Linked DNA regions of Cricetulus griseus. The protein of the gene in region 2 purifies or fractionates together with the protein of the main gene of each other region. This does not show direct contact. Links are inferred from orthologs where the notes say so. Each region holds a gene or a part of one and is shown on either strand. Other genes may lie near its edges. The genes, in order: Endog and Dnaja1.

Region 1 (10,382 bases), on a different chromosome or scaffold from region 2:
TCACGTTGCTATCCCTGTCTAAGGTGTACTTATTTGTGTGTGTCCTGTGGGTTGAGAAGTCTTGCTACAGTCTGTTCCCTCCTATCCCATGGGTCACAGAAATCAAACTCAGGCCATCAGGCGTGGTGGCTGTGCCTTTACCCACTGAGCCACCTCACCTGCCCTGGCAGTGAATTGTTCTTTAGAGACAAGGATTTTGCTCTGTTGTCCAGGCTAGCCTCAGACTCTGTTCCTCCACTTTTAGCCTCTGAGGCTGGGGCCTCTGCCTCCTGAGTGTGTTGGGATTAAAGGTGTGTATCAGCACAGCTGGCTAAAAATCAGGAGTGTTTCTATATACTAACTGAAAATAATAAAATGCTACTTGCAACACCTGAAAGAGATGAAAGTACTGAGGACTTTTGTACTGGTCATAGGGCTCAGGCCCTCACACACATCAAGCAAGCACTGGACCACTGAGCCAGACACGGCCCCAAGAATACCAAACATTGTGAAGCCTTGGAAGAAGATGAAGGAGGTGCAAAGAAACAAGAGGGTACTTACTCTGCATTTCTGGGCTGGGAGAACTCATCTCCATTCCCAGTACCCAGAACACTGCAAGTAAATAGGTTCTAGGTGCTGAATGAATGAACCTTTTCCAGCTGGTGAGGAAATAATATTCCTTCTCCAACTTAAGCAACTCACGGCTAAATAAGCCCAGGACAGGGAGTGTGGTAAGAAGGTGGCTTAGGGGCTGGAGAGATGGCTCAGCGGTTAAGAGCACTGACTGCTCTTCCAGAGGTCCTGAGTTCAATTCCCAGCAACCACATGGTGGCTCACAAAAGAAGGTGGCTTAGGCCACCCCTCAGTGATTATGGGATGGTGGGAGGAAGGGTTCCAGCTCGCTGCAATTTAATGTTAAGTGAGCTGGGGGTGCAGGAGCCTGGTGCACTAACTCAAGCCCAGCTCAGTAAATGTAGTCCCTATCAAAACTCCAGTGTGGCCAAGTGTGGTGGCACGTGCATGTGACCTCAGCACTCCACAAAGAGGATCCTGGCAAATTTGAGAACAGCCTGGTCTGTGCAGTGGGTTCCAGTCTTCCTAGAACTACATAACGAGGCCCTACCTGAAACAAAATGGCTATGACATGGAAGTGTATGTAGCTCAGTGGTATTTGCCTGAGGCTATGGGTCCTAATACACACACACACACACACTCTCTCTCTCCCACACAGATATGACATTTTTCACAGAAAAATGAAAGCATCAGTTTGAAAATGTGTCCAGGAACCATAAAAGATACCAAATACCTGATATAATCGTGAGCAAAAAGGACAGTGCAGGAGGCCACCTTACTTTAAAATACTAGTTTATGGTAATCAAAGCAGCCTGATGCTGACAGAAATACAGGAAACCCACATTTATTCCCAGTACTTGGGAGGCAGAAGCAGGCAGATCTTTGTGAGTTCAAAACCAGCCTCGTCTACGGAGAGAGTTCCAGGTTAGCCAGAGCTGCTACAGGGAGAAATCCTGTCTTGAAAAACCAAAAAGAAAAGGGAAAAAAATATGACATCAATTTATAGACCCAAAACCCTAAAAACAGGCATAAGCCTTGCAGTCAATTGATTTTTTTTTAAGATTTTTTTTGTTGCCATTTTTGATTTTTGAGACACGGTTTCTCAAAATCTTGTTTCTCGGCAGTCCTGAAATTTGCTTTGTAGACCAGGCTGGCCTCAAACTCACAAAGATCCACCTGCCTCTGCCTCCTGAATGCTGGGATTAAAGGTGTGCACCAACACTGGCTGGCAAAAAGATTTTATTTTATGTGTGTGAGTGCTTACCTGCTATATGTGTGCCTAATGCCCATGGAGGCCAGAAGAAAGCACCAGAGCCCTTGGGATTGTAGTTACAGATGCTGTGAGCCACCTTGTGGATACTGGGAATTGAACCTAGGTCTTCTGCAAGAGCAGACTGTGCTCTTAACTGCTGAGCTATCTCTCCAGCCCCTGTAATCAATTGCCTATTGACAAAGGAGCCAAGAACTCGATGGAGAAAGGACAGTTCTCAGTAAAAGGTGCCAAGAGAAATGATTTTCCACACAGAAAAGTGAAATGAGACTTTTAAATCATGCAGAGATATCAACTCTCAAATGGGTTGCAAACTTCATCCCAGCCCAGAACTGTAGCTATCAGAAGACAGGGGGATACTTGTTGGACATGGCCCCTAAAGTGCTCTTGTGTTTATTGGTAACATTCACAGGAGCCAAAAACAAACAAACAAAAAAACAAAAAAACTAACGTCCATAGATGGATAAATGGTATAGATACACATGTAATACTACTCAGCTTTTGTGTATGTGTAAGTCAGTCACCCCAGACTGGCTTCAGGCCCATGGTAATTATGCCGCAGCCTCCCTAGCACTGAGATTACAGATAGGAATCACTATGCCAAACTACTATTAGGAAAAAAAAAAAAAAAACATGTTTCCTATGCCTACAATCTATAGAAAAAATACTGATGTCTAGTGCAACTTTTCTTTTTTTTTTTTTCTTTTTTCTTTTTTTTGGTTTTTCGAGACAGGGTTTCTCTGTGTAGCTTTGGAGCCTGTCCTGGCACTCGCTCTGGAGACCAGGCTGGCCTAGAACTCACAGAGATCTGCCTGCCTCTGCCTCCTGAGTACTGAGATTAAAGGCGTGCACCACCACCGTCTGGCCTTGAACTTTTCTATGTAGGTGAGGACGACCTTGAAATTTCAGTCTTCCTCCACCATCACATCTGGTTTATGGAGTGCTGCACAAACCAGGCTTTGTGCATGTTAGGCAAGCATTTGGTCAACTGAGCTGAATGTCTCACCATAGACTTAACTGTTATTTTTACTTTATATGTATGTGCATGTCTGTATGTGGGAACACCCATGTATGAACTCAGGTGCCTGCACAGTCCAGAAGGCATTAGATCCCCTATCACTGAAGTTATGGGAGGTCATGGTTGCCTGTAATTGAACTTGGGTTCTCTGCAAGAGCAGTATATGCTCTTTAAAGAACAAAATTATGTTGTCTGTATAGGTGTTTTGCCTGCATGTATGTCTGTGGACCATGTATATCTGGTGTGTGTGGAGATTCTTTGGAGTTACAGATGGTTGTGTGTAGCCATGTGGGTGCTGAGAACTGAACCTGGGTCCATTGCAAGACCAACAAGTGCTCTGAACTACTGAGCCATCTCTCTAGCTCCCTCCCGCCCCCAGTATGAGTTCTTAATTGCTGAACCATTTTTCCAGCCCACAACACCACATTGTCTTTTTTAATTTTTTAAATAAAAGTTCTTCTGGCAGTGGTGACCTTTAATCCCAGTACTCAGGAGGCAGGGGCAGGTGGATCTCTCTCTGTCTCTCTCGCTGTCTCTCTGTCTCTGTCTCTCTGTTCTCTCTCTCTCTGTCTTCTCTCTCCTCTCTCTCTCTTTCTCTCTCTCTCTCTCTCTCTCTCTCTCTCTCTCTCTCTCTCTCTCTCTCGATACAGGGATACAGGGATACAGGGTTTCCCTGGAAACTCACTCTGTAGATCAGGCTGTCCTGGAATTCACAGAGATGGCAGGTAGATCTCCGAGTTCAAGGCCACCCTGGTTTACAGATCAAGTTCTTCAACAGCCAGGGCTACACAGAAAAGCCCTATCTTGAAAAAACAAGCAAACAAAAAAGTGAGTTCCATTGTAACACTTTCATTTGTATGTGCTACTAATTTTTATTATTTCCTTCCAGTACTCTCTTGTCCTCCAAAACCTGCTGATCCTCTATTTCCCAATTTAACTTTTAATGAATAATTTGGTTTTGTCTCTTACTAATGAGTGAGGCTCTGATGGTACATTCTCAGCCCTATTTGCTTATTTGTTCCTCCACCTTACTAGGTGGTAGGCAAGTTGCTCTCCTAAAATATTCATAGTTTAAATACTGTTCCATCTGATGTGCAGCAAATAATCTTATCCAGCTCCTAGTGTTGAATGCTTTGTGTATTCCAGCTTCTATGGACAGGAAACACTGTCTTATAAAACATGCTTCCCAGGCTCAGCTCTTTAAGAGGGTTAAAAGGAGCTCAGCACTTGGGAGGCAGAGGCAAGTGGCTCTCTGTGAGTTCGAGGCCAGCTTGGACTACAGCTCGAGTTCCAGGAGCGCCAGGGCTGTTTGACTGTTAGAGATAATCCTGTCTCAAAAAACCAAAGCCAAAACCAAAAAGAAAGAAACGTATGACCCTAATGATCTTAAATGATTTTAGTGTAGGCTTTTCAAGTAGTTTTCTATAACCTTACTAGCAAGCTTCAGCTCCAGGCGGCTGTCAGCAGTTACAGCCTAAACCTTTTGCCAGGCAATCTAGAGGAATATTTATCATTTCGTGGCGCAATTATGGGTGGACAGAGGTCTGACAGATCTGGGGTTCTGTCCTGTCCAGGTACCTAGATTTCCCAGGACTTTGTGGGGGTTAAATACGCGGCCGCTAGGGCGGCGCTGCACGCCCTGCAAGAGGCAAGGTTTCCAGAGGCGCACAAGATGAGGCGGAGCCAGACTTGGCAGTGACCAATGGCAAGCGAGTAGGGCGGTGTCACGCCCCAGCCCGCGTCTCCAAAGGGCAGCGGAAGGCCCTGCGGACGCCCGCGTGGGGTCACCGGAGGCTCCTGCACCTGGGTCCAAAGACAACTTCCCGCACTCAGGCCGCGCTCGTCCTGCTGTAGGCCATGCGCGCGCTGCGGGTCGGCCTGACCCTGGCGCTGGGCGCGGGGCTGGGTGCAGCGGCAGAGCACTGGCGGCGACGGGACGGGACAGCGACGGGGCTGCTGGCCCGGGTGCCAATGTTGCCCGTGGTGGCGGCCGAGCCGCCCGCGCTGCCAGGAGGGCCGGCGGGCGGTACCGGCGAGCTGGCCAAGTACGGGCTGCCCGGCGTCGCGCAGCTCCGGAGCCGCGAGTCCTACGTGCTGAGCTACGACCCGCGCACGCGCGGTGCGCTCTGGGTGTTGGAGCAGCTGCGACCGGAGAGGCTCCGTGGCGACGGCGACCGCAGCGCCTGCGACTTCCGAGAGGACGACTCTGTGCATGCGTACCACCGTGCCACTAACGCGGACTATCGCGGCAGCGGCTTTGACCGCGGCCACTTGGCCGCCGCCGCCAACCACCGCTGGAGCCAGCGGGCCATGGACGACACCTTCTACCTGAGCAACGTGGCCCCACAGGTAGCCATGGTCCCCAAGGGGTAGCCAAGGGGCTGCTGTCACCTGCTTGACAGCAGCACCTTGGTCTGACTTTACACGTGCACCCCCGTTGCAGGAAGGAATTGTCCTATTTGTAGTCAGGCGGGTTTGAACTTACACGGAGTAGCAGTAATGCCAGCCAGTAAGCTGCCCAGTGTGGTTTTCTGAGGGAACTCAGGAGGTTTCCTACTCCGTATATCCAGCTGGCCTGCAGCAGCTGCCAACAAAACAGCTGCCACGAAGTTGGATTTGCTTGTGCCAGTCACATCACCCTGAACACATTGTTAGCACTGCACCTGCTCCCAGGAACTGGGTTCCTGGGACATCCATCCAGTGACTGGAGATGGATAGGGGCATGGGGCTGACCCTCTCCCCCACCACACCCTTTTTCAGGTTCATTCTGAGGCCTGGCAGGCCGAGGGAGAGTTCTATATGATTAATGCTCCCTCTTTCTTTGGTTCTCTGAGCTGGGGAAAACGTAGAGATCTGAAGTGCCTAGGAACGAAAGGGGTGTGGCTAGTAGTGGTCAGCCCTACCAAAGCTCAACCCCTGTAGTCACAGTGCCTCAAGGAGTGACCCCTTCTTTGAGCCTTTGCCCTCCACATGCTTGGTCATCTCCTTAGGACCTGGGCACTCCTAACAGAAGGTCCTGAACCTTGCTTCTCCCACCAGGTGCCACATCTCAACCAGAATGCCTGGAACAACCTTGAGAAGTACAGCCGAAGCTTGACTCGCACTTACCAAAATGTCTATGTCTGCACAGGGCCTCTTTTCCTGCCCAGGTAAGCCTCCCACCCCTATTCTCCAATGTTGGACTTCCTGCTTCGATGTAGCCAGAGATCTTTGGGTGGCCCAGAAATCTCCTGTGCCCAGTTTCTAGGCCCCAAATCTTTTGACACATCTTGTCACCCCTCCATAACCCATGTTGGGGCACCAAGCTCACACCTTTGCTGTGCTTGAAGCATTCTTTCCCAAGATCAGTTTTTCAGTCCTGCCAGACAGGCAAGCTAAGCTCCTCTGAACATCAGAAAGCCTTGTGATCAGCACAGGCTGGGCAAGGCAGTTGCTGAGCAAACTGGAAGCTACTGCTCATCCTGCTGAACACCAGGCCCTGGGCTGGGACTGGGATTCCCACTGTCATGGCTCGCACCTCCTTGATTGCTGCTTGCACTGCCTATAGGGACAGTCACATGTCTACATGGTGTACAGAGCTCATTCCTCTAGCAGCATTTATTGCTACCCATTCTGGCTGAACCAGTATTGGGCAGAAAAGCAGAGGGCTAAGCGTTGGTCCCCACCTTACAGAGTTCCCAGACCCAAGGAGGCAACCAGGCTTGGCACTTCAATTTCTTGTTGGTCAGGTCAGGGAAGGCTTCCTGGAAGAGGTGGCCATGTGTGCCTGGTCTATCCTCAGGACGGAGGCTGATGGGAAGTCCTATGTGAAGTACCAGGTTATTGGAAAAAACCACGTAGCAGTGCCCACACACTTCTTCAAGGTGCTCATCCTGGAGGCCACCAGTGGGCAAATTGAGCTGCGTTCCTATGTGATGCCCAATGCCCCTGTGGATGAGACTATCCCTTTGGAGCGCTTCCTGGTGCCGATCGAGAGCATTGAGCGTGCCTCTGGGTTGCTCTTTGTGCCCAATATCCTGGCTCGAGCTGGAAACCTCAAGGCCATCACTGCTGGCAGCAAGTGAGGGTGAAGGACTGAAGACACTGGGAGAAGGGGCTGGCTCATATTAAAGGTGGTTATTTTTGGAGACAAGTCTTGACCATCTCTATTTCTGGTAAGTCTCTGTCTCCCTGGATCCACAAAGTTGTCAGGTAGTTCAGGAACCTGCCTGGGTGAGGCCAGGTTGTAGGGCAGCCAGGGAGATGAGTATGGCTTCCTGGAAGAAAAGAAGTTGGCTGGGATCTGGTAGTTAGGCAGTGGTCCCAGGTCCTTGTCTTCACAGCCAGCTCCCAAGACCCAGCCCCATGTGGGGCCTACCTCAAGAGCCAGGAAGGATAAGATGATGGGCAGTTCTTTTCAGCTGGTTTAGCGGCAATGACATGGGCAGGGCCTCAGGGACAGGCAGACTGGGGCTGTCAACCTCCAGTCACCACCCTTATAGAACCCATAGAGACAGCATTCCATACTGGCCCCAAAGACGGTCACACAGGTGCCATGGATGCTCCAGTCTTGTGAGACCCTTTCCCCCAGCACAGAAATGTTGACACCCAGAGGGACTTAGGGTACCACCAGGGAAGCTGAGGCCCTGAATAGGGATAGGCAGGTTACCTGGGCCCCTCAACCTGGGAACATAAGAATACTACTGGCCCAGGACTTGCCATCTTTATGGCTCTTTTATCTTGTCCCTGCCACTAGTTTGCTATGGTAAAGACCCCATCTGTAGAAACGACATTTAGGCTGAGGCTGTAGAGATGGCTCAGTGGTTAAGAGCACTGACTGCTTTCCCAGAGGTCCTGTGTTCATTTCCCAGCAACCACATAATGCTTCATAACTGTCTATACCTGTAGTCTCATGGGATCTGATGCTCTCTTCTGATACGAAGTACATGCAGACAAAACATCCATGTATATGAAATACATAAGTACATCTTCAGAAAAGGCACTTAGGGTGGGTTACAAGAAGAACTGGGTGCCTGTGGCTGTGGCTCACCTCAGTGCGGATGGTACGGCTGCCCTGGCTGGGGCATGTGTTGACATAAAAGTCGAACAGGACACTGGGTTCCGACACTTCAAGGTTGGGATCAGCATCCACTCCAGCTTCCAGCCCTTGGAGGCCCCCGAACACCACAAGAGCATGCCTGGTACCCAGAGAAAGGGAGTCACTGACGTCAAAGCTCGATGGGATATAGTCCTCAGAGTTTTAGGCTCCCAACCCCCATGTACAGTAGGATCCAGTCGCTGGCTTAAGCAACACCCACCTGAAGCTGGGCAGCTGGGCAGAGGCCACGTTGGAGCCTCGCTCTGATGTCCCAATGGTCAGGTCATACCCATCCTGGAAGGGAGCCTCAGCAAACACAGCACCTGGGGGTGGAGCTAGCTCAGTGGGGTTCTGCTCTTGGCTGTGTGCCTAACATACTGTAAGGTCAGGTGGAGAGAGAGCTCAGGTAAAGGAGGCCATATACGTTCTTGGAAAGTTGAGGGCAGGGAATGGTGGAGCTGAAGCCTGAGCTTGGCCTGGGAGCACACAGGCTAGGCAGGAAGAGCGCCCAAGCCCTAGACAACGTTCAGCAGTTACACTCGCTTCAGAAGGCTTTCCTAATTTGGTGTTCGAGAGGTCTCAGGTTTACAGTGAGATTCCTGTGTTGGCCTCCTAGTGCTGGGATGGCAGCTGGGAGCCAACCACACCCTGCTCTCAGATGTTCTTAGCATTCCGAATAGACGCTGGGGAGACTAGGGCACCAGAGATGGTGCCACCTAAACACATACCCTCTAGTAGAACAGAGACCCTGCTCGGACTTGTGGGTATAACAGAAGGGACAGAGGGACATTCAGGGAAGCAACTTCTGTCCTTACTGAGACAGGAGGCCAGTCGAACAGTGTAGCCCCAGTAGAGACCAGCTTTGGTGCGGGGGTCCTGCGATGACACAACTGTCCCCTTGTATGTCTTGCATTCTGGGGAGCAAAACAGGCTATGAAGACCAAGGAGACAGGGAGGTAGGTAGGAGGAGGCTCTGAGCCAAGCAACTGTAAGGGCCAAGGAAGCTTCCAGATACCTGGGAGCTGCTTCTGGTTCAGTCGCACGGTCACTCGAAGTCCAGGTTCCAGTTTCTTGTCAATCTTCACCTCCTGCAGAGAAGCCAGAGGCAATGAGTGCCACACTTCAAAAGGGGCCAGCGCTCTCAGAGACCCAGTGGAGGAACTATGGTGCCAGGTCAACCTGCCACCCTGTTTCTGGCACTGGGTGGGACCTACTAAGAGGGACCATCACGAAGAACAATTATCACAGGGAATTGGTCAGAAATGGAAGCCTGGGGCTTAGGACATGGAGAGTCAGTGTCTACAAAGAGATGAGGTCTCGGGCTAGAGCCATGTTCAGGGGTTAAGAGCCCTGTTTGCGCTTATGGAGGTCCTGAGTTCAATTTCCAGCAATGAGATCTGGTGCCCTCTTCTGGCCTGCAGGCATACATGCAGACAGAACACTGTATACTATATATAATAAATAAATGTTAAAAAAAAGGATGAAGTCACAGATTTCTTCCTTATGGTGGCTTTGCCACTTGCTGGCTGTAGGAGTTTGAGGAGGTCAGTTAGCACCCATGTGCCTCAGTCTCCTCATCTGTTGAATAAAAGACATTATAAACAAGAGCTACTCTTGGATCCGCAAGATGGCTCACCAGGAAAAGGCATTTGTCTCCAAGCCTGATGACCAGAGTTCAATCCCCACTCAGTGGGAGGAGAAAACTGACACTTGTCAAGTTGTTCTCTGACCTCACACTTACTCCTTAGCATGTGAATGTTTACCTACACATTCATACCTACATACATTAAAAATAAAAAAACTTAAATGTCAACTAACACCAAAACCAGCAAAGCTGAGAACATGCTAGTGACAGACATGATTAGATCTCAGTAACAAAAATAAATAAGCAAACACACCACCACTAGCAACACGAGTTTGGTCCTGGCTTCATCTCTCACTTATTTTTATTTTATGTGTGTGGCTTTTTGCCTGCATGCATGTCTGTGTATCATGTTCATGCCTGGGGCCCATTGAGGTCAGAAGAGGGCATCAGATTCCCTAGAACAGGAGTTACAGGTGGTTTGTGAGCCACCATGTCAGTGCTGGAAACTGAACCTGGGTCCTATGCAAGAGCTGGTGCTCTAAACCAATGAGCCATCTCTTCATCTTCTCTAGGTTCATCTTTTGTGGTGTTTCACAGCAGGCCTAGAGTTCAGGTCCCTGTTCATATGTCCTTGACTTGTCTTCAGAGCTAGCAAGTGTCCTCAAGGTGTGCCATAGCCCACCTTCCATTCCTACCTTCTTCAGTCCACAGTTGACCAAAGAGCCATGGCCTGCCTTGGTGGGCCGGTCTACCACGATGCCTTCTCGGAACTCAGATTCCTCATCCTGCCGCATGTGGTGAGGACTGTCCAAGGGGTTGAGGATCCCTGGCATCAGGAGAGTGATGTCAGGGCCAGGCTTACACTCTCAGGCCTGCTGTC
Region 2 (10,459 bases):
CCTTTCCCCAGTAAGAGCCTAACCAAGAAGCCACTGAAAAGAAAAAAACCGTGGTAAGATGCTGAAGTGTCACTCTATATAACAGGTGGCCTTCAGCAGGATTGCAAGGACTAGATTCTATTTATGGGGAAGGTCATGGACAGGAAAGACTGGGAAGCAAATGGGATAGGGGTATAGGGTATATGAGGGGAAATTCCCAAAGAATTGATAAAACATCGGTGAAAACTATTTTTTTTTGTCTTTGAAGACAGGGTTTCTCTGTGTAGCCGTGGAACCCTCTCTGTAGATCAGGCTGGCCTTGAACTCAGATCTGAGTGCTGAAATTAAAGGTGTGTGCCTTGACCTCCCAGCCCCAAACCCCATTTTTACTGTATTCTTTTAACTTGAATGTGAATTTAACTGTACTACCCAGCTGTAGTCCCAACACTTGGGAGATGGAGGCAGGAGGACCAAGAGTTCATGGTCACCCCTAAGTACAGAAGTCCCACTCTATCTCAAAATAACAAACAAGTTATTTAGCCAAAGGACAGAGTGAGGCCAGCCTCGGCAAAATCCCCATCTCAATAGAAGAAAAAGAAATTTTTATTAAGCTGAACCAGAAAAAAAGGACTGATATGCACACATATTCCTTTTGTTTTTCGAGACAGGGTTTTTCTGTGTAGCCTTGGAGCCTATCCTGGCACCCGCTCTATACATCAGGCTGGCCTTGAACTCACCCAGATCTACCTGCCCCTGCCTCCCAAGTGCTGGGATTAAAGACGTTCCCCACCAATGCCTGGTGGGCACACACATTCTTTAAAGATGTGTTATACTAGGTGTGGTTACATGGGAATGTAACCCCTGCACATGTAAAAAGCCAGAAATCTATATTTTAATGAGCCTATTCCTCACCTCACATACACCCATTTATGTTATTCCTTAATTCCTAAGAATGTGCACAGTATAAATTTTTAAAGACAGGATAATTACATATCAGAAGACTGGATAAAATGTTCTGTAACTATTGCCACTGAGCCAGAAAGACAAATCTTACACACTAAGAGTATGTAATATAAATGTGGGAAGGGCCAAGGCCACACAACGTCTAGAAGAACTGTTGGCAGTTGATGTTTACTGGAGGGGAGTCCCTTTCTTTGTTAGTGTAGCCACCGATAAATGCCCATGTTCCAGTAAATAACCCCCCCCCATGCTCACACAAGCACTACTAATTAAACTAAATGTATCACAAACAACCCTACCACAAAATGATGAGAATGGCAAGTGCTACAGAAAACAATGAGGGATGGAGTGAAAATTACCAAACTACGTTATACACTATGAATAAAAAACACGATTCAGACTATAGAGTGGATCAGAACTCACCTTTATCAATATGAACTTCTAAAATCTTCTTCTCTCGAACTATCTTTCTTCCATTGCAACTTTTACATCTGTCTTTAGGACTGATGCGTTCTCCATGACCCTGGCATTCCATGCACACTGACTGAATTTGCTGAACCATTCCTGGTCCGATCTGATGAATCCTGATTTGCATGCCGGTCCCCCGACAGTTGGGACAGCACTCAACTGCTCCTTTCTTACCACCTCGGCCTAAAGAGTTTAAAAAAACAAAAACAAAAAAACAAAACTTTGTGTATTAACTTTGTAATAGAATCTAAACTCCTTAGGATTTTCAAGGGCTTATGTACTGCTGTCCTAAATAGATTCAGGAGCCATTTCAAAATCATGAGTTTTTAAACAGAAACAAACAAGGTAGGCACGCATGCTATAAATCTCAGCAGTTTCAAAGAGGATGGTGGAAAATCTTCCCTTTTGAGTTAGTTTAGAAATGGTTCAACAATGGAGGTCAGCAAGCAACTGTGTGTTAGTAAGGGGTGTATGTGTGAAGAAATGACATTTTTTAGACATGAGAATGCCTAAGAGTGTCAATAGTCTGTTTTTTGTTGTTGTTTTTTCGAGACAGGGTTTCTCTGTGGCTTTCTTTGGAAGCTGTCCTGGAACTAGCTCTTGTAGACCAGGCCGGTCTCAAACTTAGAGATCCTCCTGCCTCTGCCTCCCGAGTGTAAAGGCATGCGAAGCCACCACCACACAGCTAAGTGTCAATAGTATGTATTCTTAGGATTTTGGTAGAAACAAAGGGGTGGGAAGAAGGGAAGGCAGGGCCTAGTGAGATGACTCACTTAAGAGCACTGGCTGTTCTTCCAGATGACCTGGATTTGATCCCAAGCACCCACGTAGTGGCTCACAACCCTCTTTAACTCTAGTTCCAGGGGATATGATGCCTTCTTTTGGCTTCCATAGGTACTGCATAAAGCAGTACAAGAGATAAACACTCAGACAGGCAAAACTCCCGTGGGGTGGTAGAGAGGTGGGGAGTGGGGTGTCCTGCCTTTGCAGTTAGAGTTCAAAGTAGGCAGGCCTAACAGTGAAGACCTCTGCAAGCACCTGCGGTATTTTACTTTCTGAGTGAGTAGTGAGCCAGGCAGTAAACTCCAAGACTGCCTGCACCACCATCTTAATGTTCCGATAGCACATTTCCACCTTGAGAGAAGGTTTTGCTGGTCTCACTAAGCTTGACCAACCCCAGAGTTTGATCTTTTAATGCCTGGTTGAAGAAAACTGGTTACTACAAGTTGTCTTCTGACCTCCCAGACACCGAAACATGCATATGCAAATACAAAGTATTAAAAAAAAATTGCTACTTAGGGCCTATACAGATTAGGCCCATCAGCACCTTGTAATAAAGGGAGAAGCTATTGTCAAGGCCTCACCCCTGCATACACATTTTCTTCTGTAATATAGCTACTGAATAAGGTGCCCATCCTTTTGTAAGCAATCCCTCACCCATATTCCTGTAAACAACTCTAATGGGACTCAAAACATAGGCACACAGGAGTATCAAGGAACAGAAGGGTTTTAGTGGAAGTTGAGCAGGAGAGCAATGATGAAAATACATTATATACATGCATGAAAACGTCACAACAAAGCCATTACGAGTTTTCTTGGAAGGTTCACTCAGCTCCTTTTAGTGTAGCATCAGTTTTGTCTATCCAGAAAATTAGGCATAAGGGCTTGTAGTAATCCCCAGGTTGAGGCAGGACACAAATCCAAGGCCAGCCTAATCTATAAAGACCTTATCTCAAAAACTATAACAACCCAACAGTAAGTAAGAACCCTTACCTTCACATTTGTCACAAATCACATTCTTTTGCAGAGCTAATTTTCTTGTTGCGCCATTATACAAGTCTTCTAAGGTCACTGAGAGCTGATGCACAACATTTTTACCTGGAACAAAACACTGCTCATTAAAAACCCATGTGTAATGTTTGCTGAAGGCACCATAGAAATGGAAAAGGATAATCAAAGACCAGTCTTATACTATACACCTGTTGAGCTATACCCATATACAACATTCATCCAATAACTTGATTCTCAAACTGATTTAATCACAGTTAAAGTGAATTACATCAGGGGTTCATTTGCCTAACGACACAAAAGAGGCCCCCTCTTAGAAATGCAGCGACTAAAAGTCACTCAATGTTCAGGCACATTTCACAACAATTCAAAGCATGTATCCCTTTAGAGGTTTCACTTACTAAGCATTAAGCAACATGGCCAGTTACTTCATCCAAACAGTACATTCTTTCTAATCAAGATTGGCTAGAGAAGCCAATATTGAGACACTACTGAAACAATTCCTACTTCTGTTTCAATAGTTTACTGCCAGGCTAGAACTGGTTGTTTCAAATGACAAATTTCTTATGCTTTTTGTAATAGAACAGAAAACTTTAATGATGGGCGTATCATGTGTTCAATATAGCAACTACTAGTCACAATTTAAGTGTGGTGACTACCACAGCTGGAGAGAATATCCACCCTCCCTCCCTTAAGTTAATCTTAATTTAAAGACTCACATCTGGCTAGTGACTACAAAGGAATGCCACATGTAATTAATTTACCTATGGCAATAGGAGGAGGAGGTTGAGATCACACAAGGATAATCAGGCTATGGAAATAAAATTACCCTCTATGGTTAATAAGTTCCTAGCCAGTGATCCTTCCACTAGGACTTTATCCATCACCAAATGGCACTGCCTGGTGGCTAACAACAGTTTCAATCCTTTCTGACCATCATACCTAAAGGAACATTTACTCTTTTAAGTGAGATGTTAAGTATCATATCCTTTTGTTTCTAGCTTTACTTTAGATTTCTACTATCACAAAAAGAACATGTAAGCAGGTTCTTCCAAGTTGAAAGTTGCCCATTTCTTAACTTTGTATACAGAGTACAGAAAAGGAAAAACAAAGCTTCTGGAAACTGACCAAGTATACTTTCCAAAGCAGCAGCAACAAAAACCCTCATATTAAAATAAGCCAAAAGTTAGTAGCTCATACTATCCTTATGGTTCACAACAGATTTTTTTTAATTTTAATTTTTGTGCATACATGTTTGTATGAAAGCCCAGAGGTCAGAAGAGGTTATCAGATCCTCTTGAGCGGGAGTTACAGGCAGTAGTGAGCCATGCACTGAAATCTGGATCTTCTGCAAAGAGTACAGTATTCTTAACCACTGAGCCACTTTTCAGGGCCACAACATTCATTTCCAGTAAATTCTTGTAAAAACACAGTAAACAAAAATGAAGTACTATTGACCTCCAATGCTATCTTCCCAAGAAGTCTGTCTAGCTCAGAGACAACTTTTTTGTTAAAACATTAAATGCATATAAACTGAGTTAGCAAGCTAAAGTAAGATTAAACAGGCAGCAGGTTATCTGGAGGCAATGAGCTGTTTTCAGTCTTGGCTTGCTATGTTTCAGTTTTCTCAACTCTTCTTTAACTGATAAAGGCCATTACACTTAACCATTTGTGTTTGTTCTAGGGGCATGATGTGTAAGGGCTTAGAAGCCCAGGTTGCCATGCTGTTATCTTACTGTTTGGGTATCTGTGGATGGGAGATACCCACTAGATTGGCTTAGCTATTTTGATTACATAAAAATCTCAACTATCTAAATTTCTTTTTTAAAAATCTCAATTTTAAATGACACCAGAAATCAGAGGCATCATACCAATATGTAAACAAGCACTGAAGGTAGTAAATTCAGTTTTTCAGTAGCAGCCATTTCATTCTGCTGCAGGTAAGCTGTACTTTTTCTTACCTCTCCGTTCTCTTTGCATCCTCCCTCCTCCTCCAAAGAACATGTCAAAGATATCCATGGGTGAGCCAAAACCACCACCTGCTCCGCCCTCTTTAATGGCCTGTTCTCCTCCTTTATCATATAATTCCCTTTTTTTGGAATCAGCAAGAACTTCATAAGCTTGAGAAATCTGTTTAAACTGTTTCAGAAAAAGAAATCCCATTAGAAATAACTGTCACACGGCACAGCCACTGTATTACAACCTTGACTTTCGGGCACCAGCAGTACACACATGGCAACACTGCTGAACTGTTCGAGAATGTACTTGCCTTTTCTCCTTCATTTGGATTCTTATCAGGGTGGTACTTCAAGGCTAATTTTCTATATGCCTTCTTCAGTTCTTCCTGGGTGGCATTGGGTTTGACCCCCAAAACATCATAGTAAGTGGTTTCTTTCACCATCTTTCACAGCCTGAAATCAGAAAAACGGGGAGCTTTAAACCAGCTTTTAGTGCTGTGCAGAAGCGCCACCTGCCTCTGCCTCCTGAGAGCCGGGTTCAAGGTGTGAGCCACCATGACCGGCTTTTAATTGGTAGTTTTTAGCAAACTACCAGAACTAGAGCAATCTGTTCTTTGCCGTATAAAGAACACTGCCTTCGCTAACTTTAAAGCTATCAATTCCTGATATGATCTGGCTGAAAATTCTAACAGACTAAATATAAACGTAAATTGCGGGGAACTCGAAAGCCTTTCTAGCAGCTGGTTCCTACTCTGCCGCACTAACACATGTGTGATGGGGCTCCTTCCGGTTTCCTTTCCCCACAGGTTGTGCTAGTAACCCAAAGCAGCACTGGTAGGTTCTGTCCATTGGTTAGTACATTAGCACTGCCTTTGTACATCTGATAAAGGCCCTCACTCGCCGGAAAAGGACAGTGGACTCCCGGGGGTGGAGGAGTGGCTTATGAGACCAGCTCCGGGGAGCAGGTGCCCCCGGCCCCGTCGCCATCCTGATCCTGCTCGCCGCTTACCCACTCTCGTCCCTCAGGCCCGCCAAGCTGACTCGCCCTCTGGATTTCCCCCCAGCACCTGGCGCCTACAGTTAAGGTTTCCTTCCTTTCTCCCTCCCACCCGGATCGAAAAGGCGGAGGGGGAAGGCCGGACCTCAACAAAGAGAGGGAGGAGAGCCAGGAGAAGAAGCACAAGCCGCAGCCTCCGCCCGGCTCCTCCCGCAGCCCCTCACCCCTGCCTCGGTCCGCGCGTGCGCAGCGCTGCCCACCCGGCGCGGGCGGCGGGGAGAAAGGGGTGCGCACCGACAGGAGTCTGAGGCGGGCGCCGAGTTGGCTCGGGCCTTGGGCCTCCTCGCGGCGTACAGACGGTCGGGGAGGGCGCCGGGCATCCCGGCGGCCTTCCGAAGCCGGATTCCGGCTCAGGGAGCCCGCAGCCCCTGCCCACGCGGGGCCAACCGCCTCCGGCTGCGGCTCCCCTCGGCTATCTGGCGCCCAGGCCGCACGTCGCGGCCGAGGAAGGCCCGAGGGCCGAGACTCACCGGTGAGCGGGCCGGTGCCGGAGAGCGGAAAGAGGAGCGTAGCACAACGCAGTTGGGGCAGACGCTGCTCCTCCACCTCCCACGGAGCGTTCTGGAAAGTTCCGCCCGGCCCGCCGCAGCCGACCTCTTTTGTAGCCGAGCCCGGGCGCGTCACTCGCCGGAAGTCCCGCCCCACGCCGCTGCCGCCGCCCCTCGGTTACCTGGGCAACGGCGCGGGGGCGCTGGGGTTGGGAGTGGCCGTGCCCAAGGGCCTTGTGGGGGTGGACTCAGGCCCGGGTTCCGAGACTCGTGGAATCTTCTAGAGGCCTTTCTTTACTGTGAGGGCCCAGAGTGCGGAAGTCTTGAAGTGCAGAGGTTATGTATGCCGCAGGCGCTTCGCCGAAGGGGACCTGCCGGAACCCAACCCCAACCCTAACCCCACCCGGAGCCTAATTTTTTGCAGCCCCTTATTTCTGAGCCCTGCAGGCAAGAAATGCTGAGCCAGACCGGCCTAGTCGCCAGACCAACCTTGCAGGCTTTGAATCTGGTGGTTTCACCCAAGTGCACTTCCGTGTGAGAGCTTTCTGGGCGAGCCCAGGCTTCAAATCCTTAAGTCTCCAATGCCTCAGGCCGAGGGAACCTGGGGCTGCAGCAAACAGGGAATGCTTTATGTAAATTGAGGGCAGTGGATTCTTTTCTAGTCAATCTCCCACTACGTTTGACTGCAGAGTAGCAACAAAAAAGAAAATTTCTTTAGCTAATTGTTTTAATTTTCTGACCATCTTTAGGTCTAGTCAGCGAATCAAAATCTGCAGTTGGCAAAGTGAACCTTAGGCCTTCAAAGGACAGAATGAAAAAATGGAGTGTTTTTTTCTTATTCAGTAACCCAGTAGACGTATCAAACAAAGCAGCTGGAGGTGCAAGCTTGGGAAAGTAGAGTTGACATATTTTATAAAGATTTACTTTCAATCTTGTGTGTCTGTGTAGGTGCCCAAGGAAGTCAGAGGCATGGAGTCTGTTCAGGTTACTTTTATACAGAGACTCGTATATTTTGTTTGGATTTTTTATTTTTATATTTACTGTATGTGTATGAGTGTTTGGTTTATATGTGTGTATGTGCACCACATGCATGCCTAGTGCCCCTGGAGGTCAGGATAGGGAGTGGGATCCCAGGTAATTGGAATTACAGGCTGTTGTGAGCCACCTGGTGCTTTTAACTGATAAGCCATCTCTCTCTACCCTCCTTGGCTTTGTTTTTTCAGAAAGGGTCTTGCCACATTATAGACCAGGGTAGCCTAGTACTCTCTGTAGCCAAAGCTGGCCTCAAACTCTGAACTTCTCAGCCTCCAGGCAGTTGTGAAGACTAATACATGCTCTTAACCACACCACTGAGCCTCCTGCTTAGAATTTTGTTGGATGTTGAACAAAGCAAATTACAAGAGAAGTCACAAAATGTAGCTCAGCACTTGTACAAAACGCAGTTGAGCACATTTCCTAACGGACAAAGAAAGCACTGGAAGCCTAGGTGTGTGGAATGTGATGCTTTAAATGTTCGCCTTATTGTGTGTGTGCACGTGGAGCATTGCAGCTTTCTCCTACTTTTCCATAGGTAACTCAGGTCTTCCGTGCTTTACCAGCAGAGCTGTCATCTCAGTGTCTTAAGGAAATCATAGGTAATTGGATGTAGCCAGAGCTAAGGGAGCTGTAAAGGCTGTTTTCAAACCTATCTGGAGACTTCTTTACCTCTTGGTATGTCTTAATAAGCTAAGGTTTTGGAGTGCCAGCCTTGTGCGGTTTGCCTCTTCAGCCTTAATGCTTTCATTAAACTATTTCAGGCACTAAAGCTACACTACTTCCCTTGCAGACTTTTACTATGTGTTTTGTTTTGGCTGAAAAACATTATTTTTCTCATGTGTTACACTCTCAGGTATCATATCAAGTAATAGGTTATACTTTAGAGCAGTACTCCTCCTGCCAGCCTGAAAAAGAGCTGGAATTATAGGCCTGTGCATGCCACCACACTTGGCTTGCAAATATTTCTTTAGGACAGACACCCAGAGCTGAAATTGCTGAGTCAATGTAAGAGCAAATTGAAAATTAAAATAACTTTATGTTGGTTTGTACTGCTTCCACCATTGTGCCAGTGGGTCTTGCAAATATAGGGGATTCTGTTTTGCTCTCTTGCTATTAAATCTTTGCCAGCTTTACAAGTGAAAATTTACAATCAAATGGCTTGGTTTCTACCTATAAGCCCAGAATTTTGGAGGCTCAAGGAGGAAGATCAGGAGTTCAAGACCAACTAAGGCTATATAGAAAGTTTGAGGCTACTTGGGATATTTGAGACTGTATCTGGGGGTATATGTGAGAAATTAATGTTATTGCTTTAATTTGAAGTTTCTTCTTTTGCACAGACATACAAAGCACACATACACATAAAATAACAAAATAAAAAATAAATCCTGCACTTCTGCCTTACTCTGGGGGTCCTGCTGGCCTTGAATTTAAGGAACTCCTGCTTCAGCCTACCAAATGCTAGAATTACAGGTGTGAGCCACCACACCTGACCCTTGTGTTCAGTCTCCTGTACTTTTTTTTCAAGACAGGGTTTCTCTGTAGCTTTTGGAAGCTGCCCTGGAACTTGCTCTGTAGACCAGGCTGGCCTTGAACTCACAGAGATGTACCTGCCTCTGCCTCCTGAGTACTGGGATTAAAGTTGTGCGCCACCACCACCTGGTACAGCTGTATTCTTAATCCATTCTGCCTTACAGAATACCCTCAGCCTTCAAGTCTGGCTTGGTAGGTAGTGTAACTGCCTGTGTGCAGATGGGGTGAGAGAGTATTTGCTGAGACATTTGTCTGTAGTGTTTTCAAGCAGCGTGGACTTTGAATTTGGCACCCCTACCCTGTCTTCTTGTTTCTCTCTCCACCCACCCACCCACCCTCCCTCTGTCTCTGTCTGTCTGTCTGTCTGTCTGTCTGTCTGTCTCTCTCTCTCTCTCTCTCCCTCTCTCTCCCGGGGGACAGGGCCTTGTGTATTCCAGGTTCACCTCAATCTTGAATTTGGTGTGATGACTTTGAACTCCCAATCTTCCTCCTTCCACCTAGTTTGGAATCATGTCTAGCTTCTTGTCTTTTTTTCTGGGGAGGGCTCAGGAACAGGAGAGAGAGCCTTCTCCAGGCAGTGTTCACAGGTTCCTCAGCCACCCCAAACTGGGGTTCAGCGATCCTGAGGGCAGATAAGTATATTATGTATGTTCCCATCATCTCAGATGAGCACTGGGTAAGTTGTAGGGTGTGATTTGGGTAGAAATGTAGTAAGGCCTTGGACATGCCCAGTTCCGACTCTTTGGCATAGGCATTAGTTTAGGAAGGTGGTCTGTCTTGTGGCCTTCTTGGTCTTCCTCCTTAAGAATCTTAGTAAGTAAAAATGTCTCCTTAACAATTTCACACAGAGGACTTCAAGAACAAGGTTAAGGACTCATAGAAAACTACTTTACAATTTAGAAAAAGTGTGTGCTCACTTTCCATCCTTTCACTCCCTCACATCTTCAGGTGTTGTCTTTGATTTTTTTTAAATGCTGCCAGGTGTGGTGGCAAGAGTGTGTACCTATAGTCCTAACTACTCTGAAAGTTATGGCAGGGTTATTACTGAAGCCCAGGAATTTGAAGACAGCCTGGGCAACATGGCATCAAAAATACAGTTGGTTTTTTTTTTGGGGGGGGGCAGGGTTTCTCTGTATAGCCCTGGCTGTTCTGGAGCTCACTCTGTAGACCAGGCTGGCCTTGAACTCACAGAGATC

The links.
Region 1: the proteins of Dnaja1 (region 2) and Endog purify together in Homo sapiens (affinity purification with mass spectrometry; 3 studies listed by BioGRID and IntAct, counting the BioPlex papers as one, with this or other methods). This does not show direct contact. The link is inferred for Cricetulus griseus from reciprocal best matches to the Homo sapiens genes DNAJA1 and ENDOG.

The regions. Positions count from the first base shown.
Region 1 is NC_048599.1:141,826,278-141,836,659, forward strand, and holds Endog (endonuclease G, mitochondrial), read left to right. Parts: upstream 1-4,561; 5' UTR 4,562-4,697; coding exon 4,698-5,189; intron 5,190-5,879; coding exon 5,880-5,989; intron 5,990-6,411; exon of another isoform or gene 6,412-6,621; coding exon 6,622-6,904; 3' UTR 6,905-6,967; downstream 6,968-10,382. Other genes in the region: putative methyltransferase C9orf114 homolog, read right to left, coding at 7,037-7,096, 7,870-8,017, 8,138-8,240, 8,733-8,831, 8,933-9,005, 10,198-10,328. UniProt on the Homo sapiens protein: Endonuclease that preferentially catalyzes the cleavage of double-stranded 5-hydroxymethylcytosine (5hmC)-modified DNA.
Region 2 is NC_048595.1:101,872,096-101,882,554, forward strand, and holds the start of Dnaja1 (dnaJ homolog subfamily A member 1), read right to left. Parts: upstream 6,819-10,459; 5' UTR 6,681-6,818; intron 6,312-6,680; exon of another isoform or gene 6,296-6,311; intron 5,607-6,295; 5' UTR 5,597-5,606; coding exon 5,465-5,596; intron 5,335-5,464; coding exon 5,157-5,334; intron 3,286-5,156; coding exon 3,181-3,285; intron 1,591-3,180; coding exon 1,363-1,590; intron 1-1,362.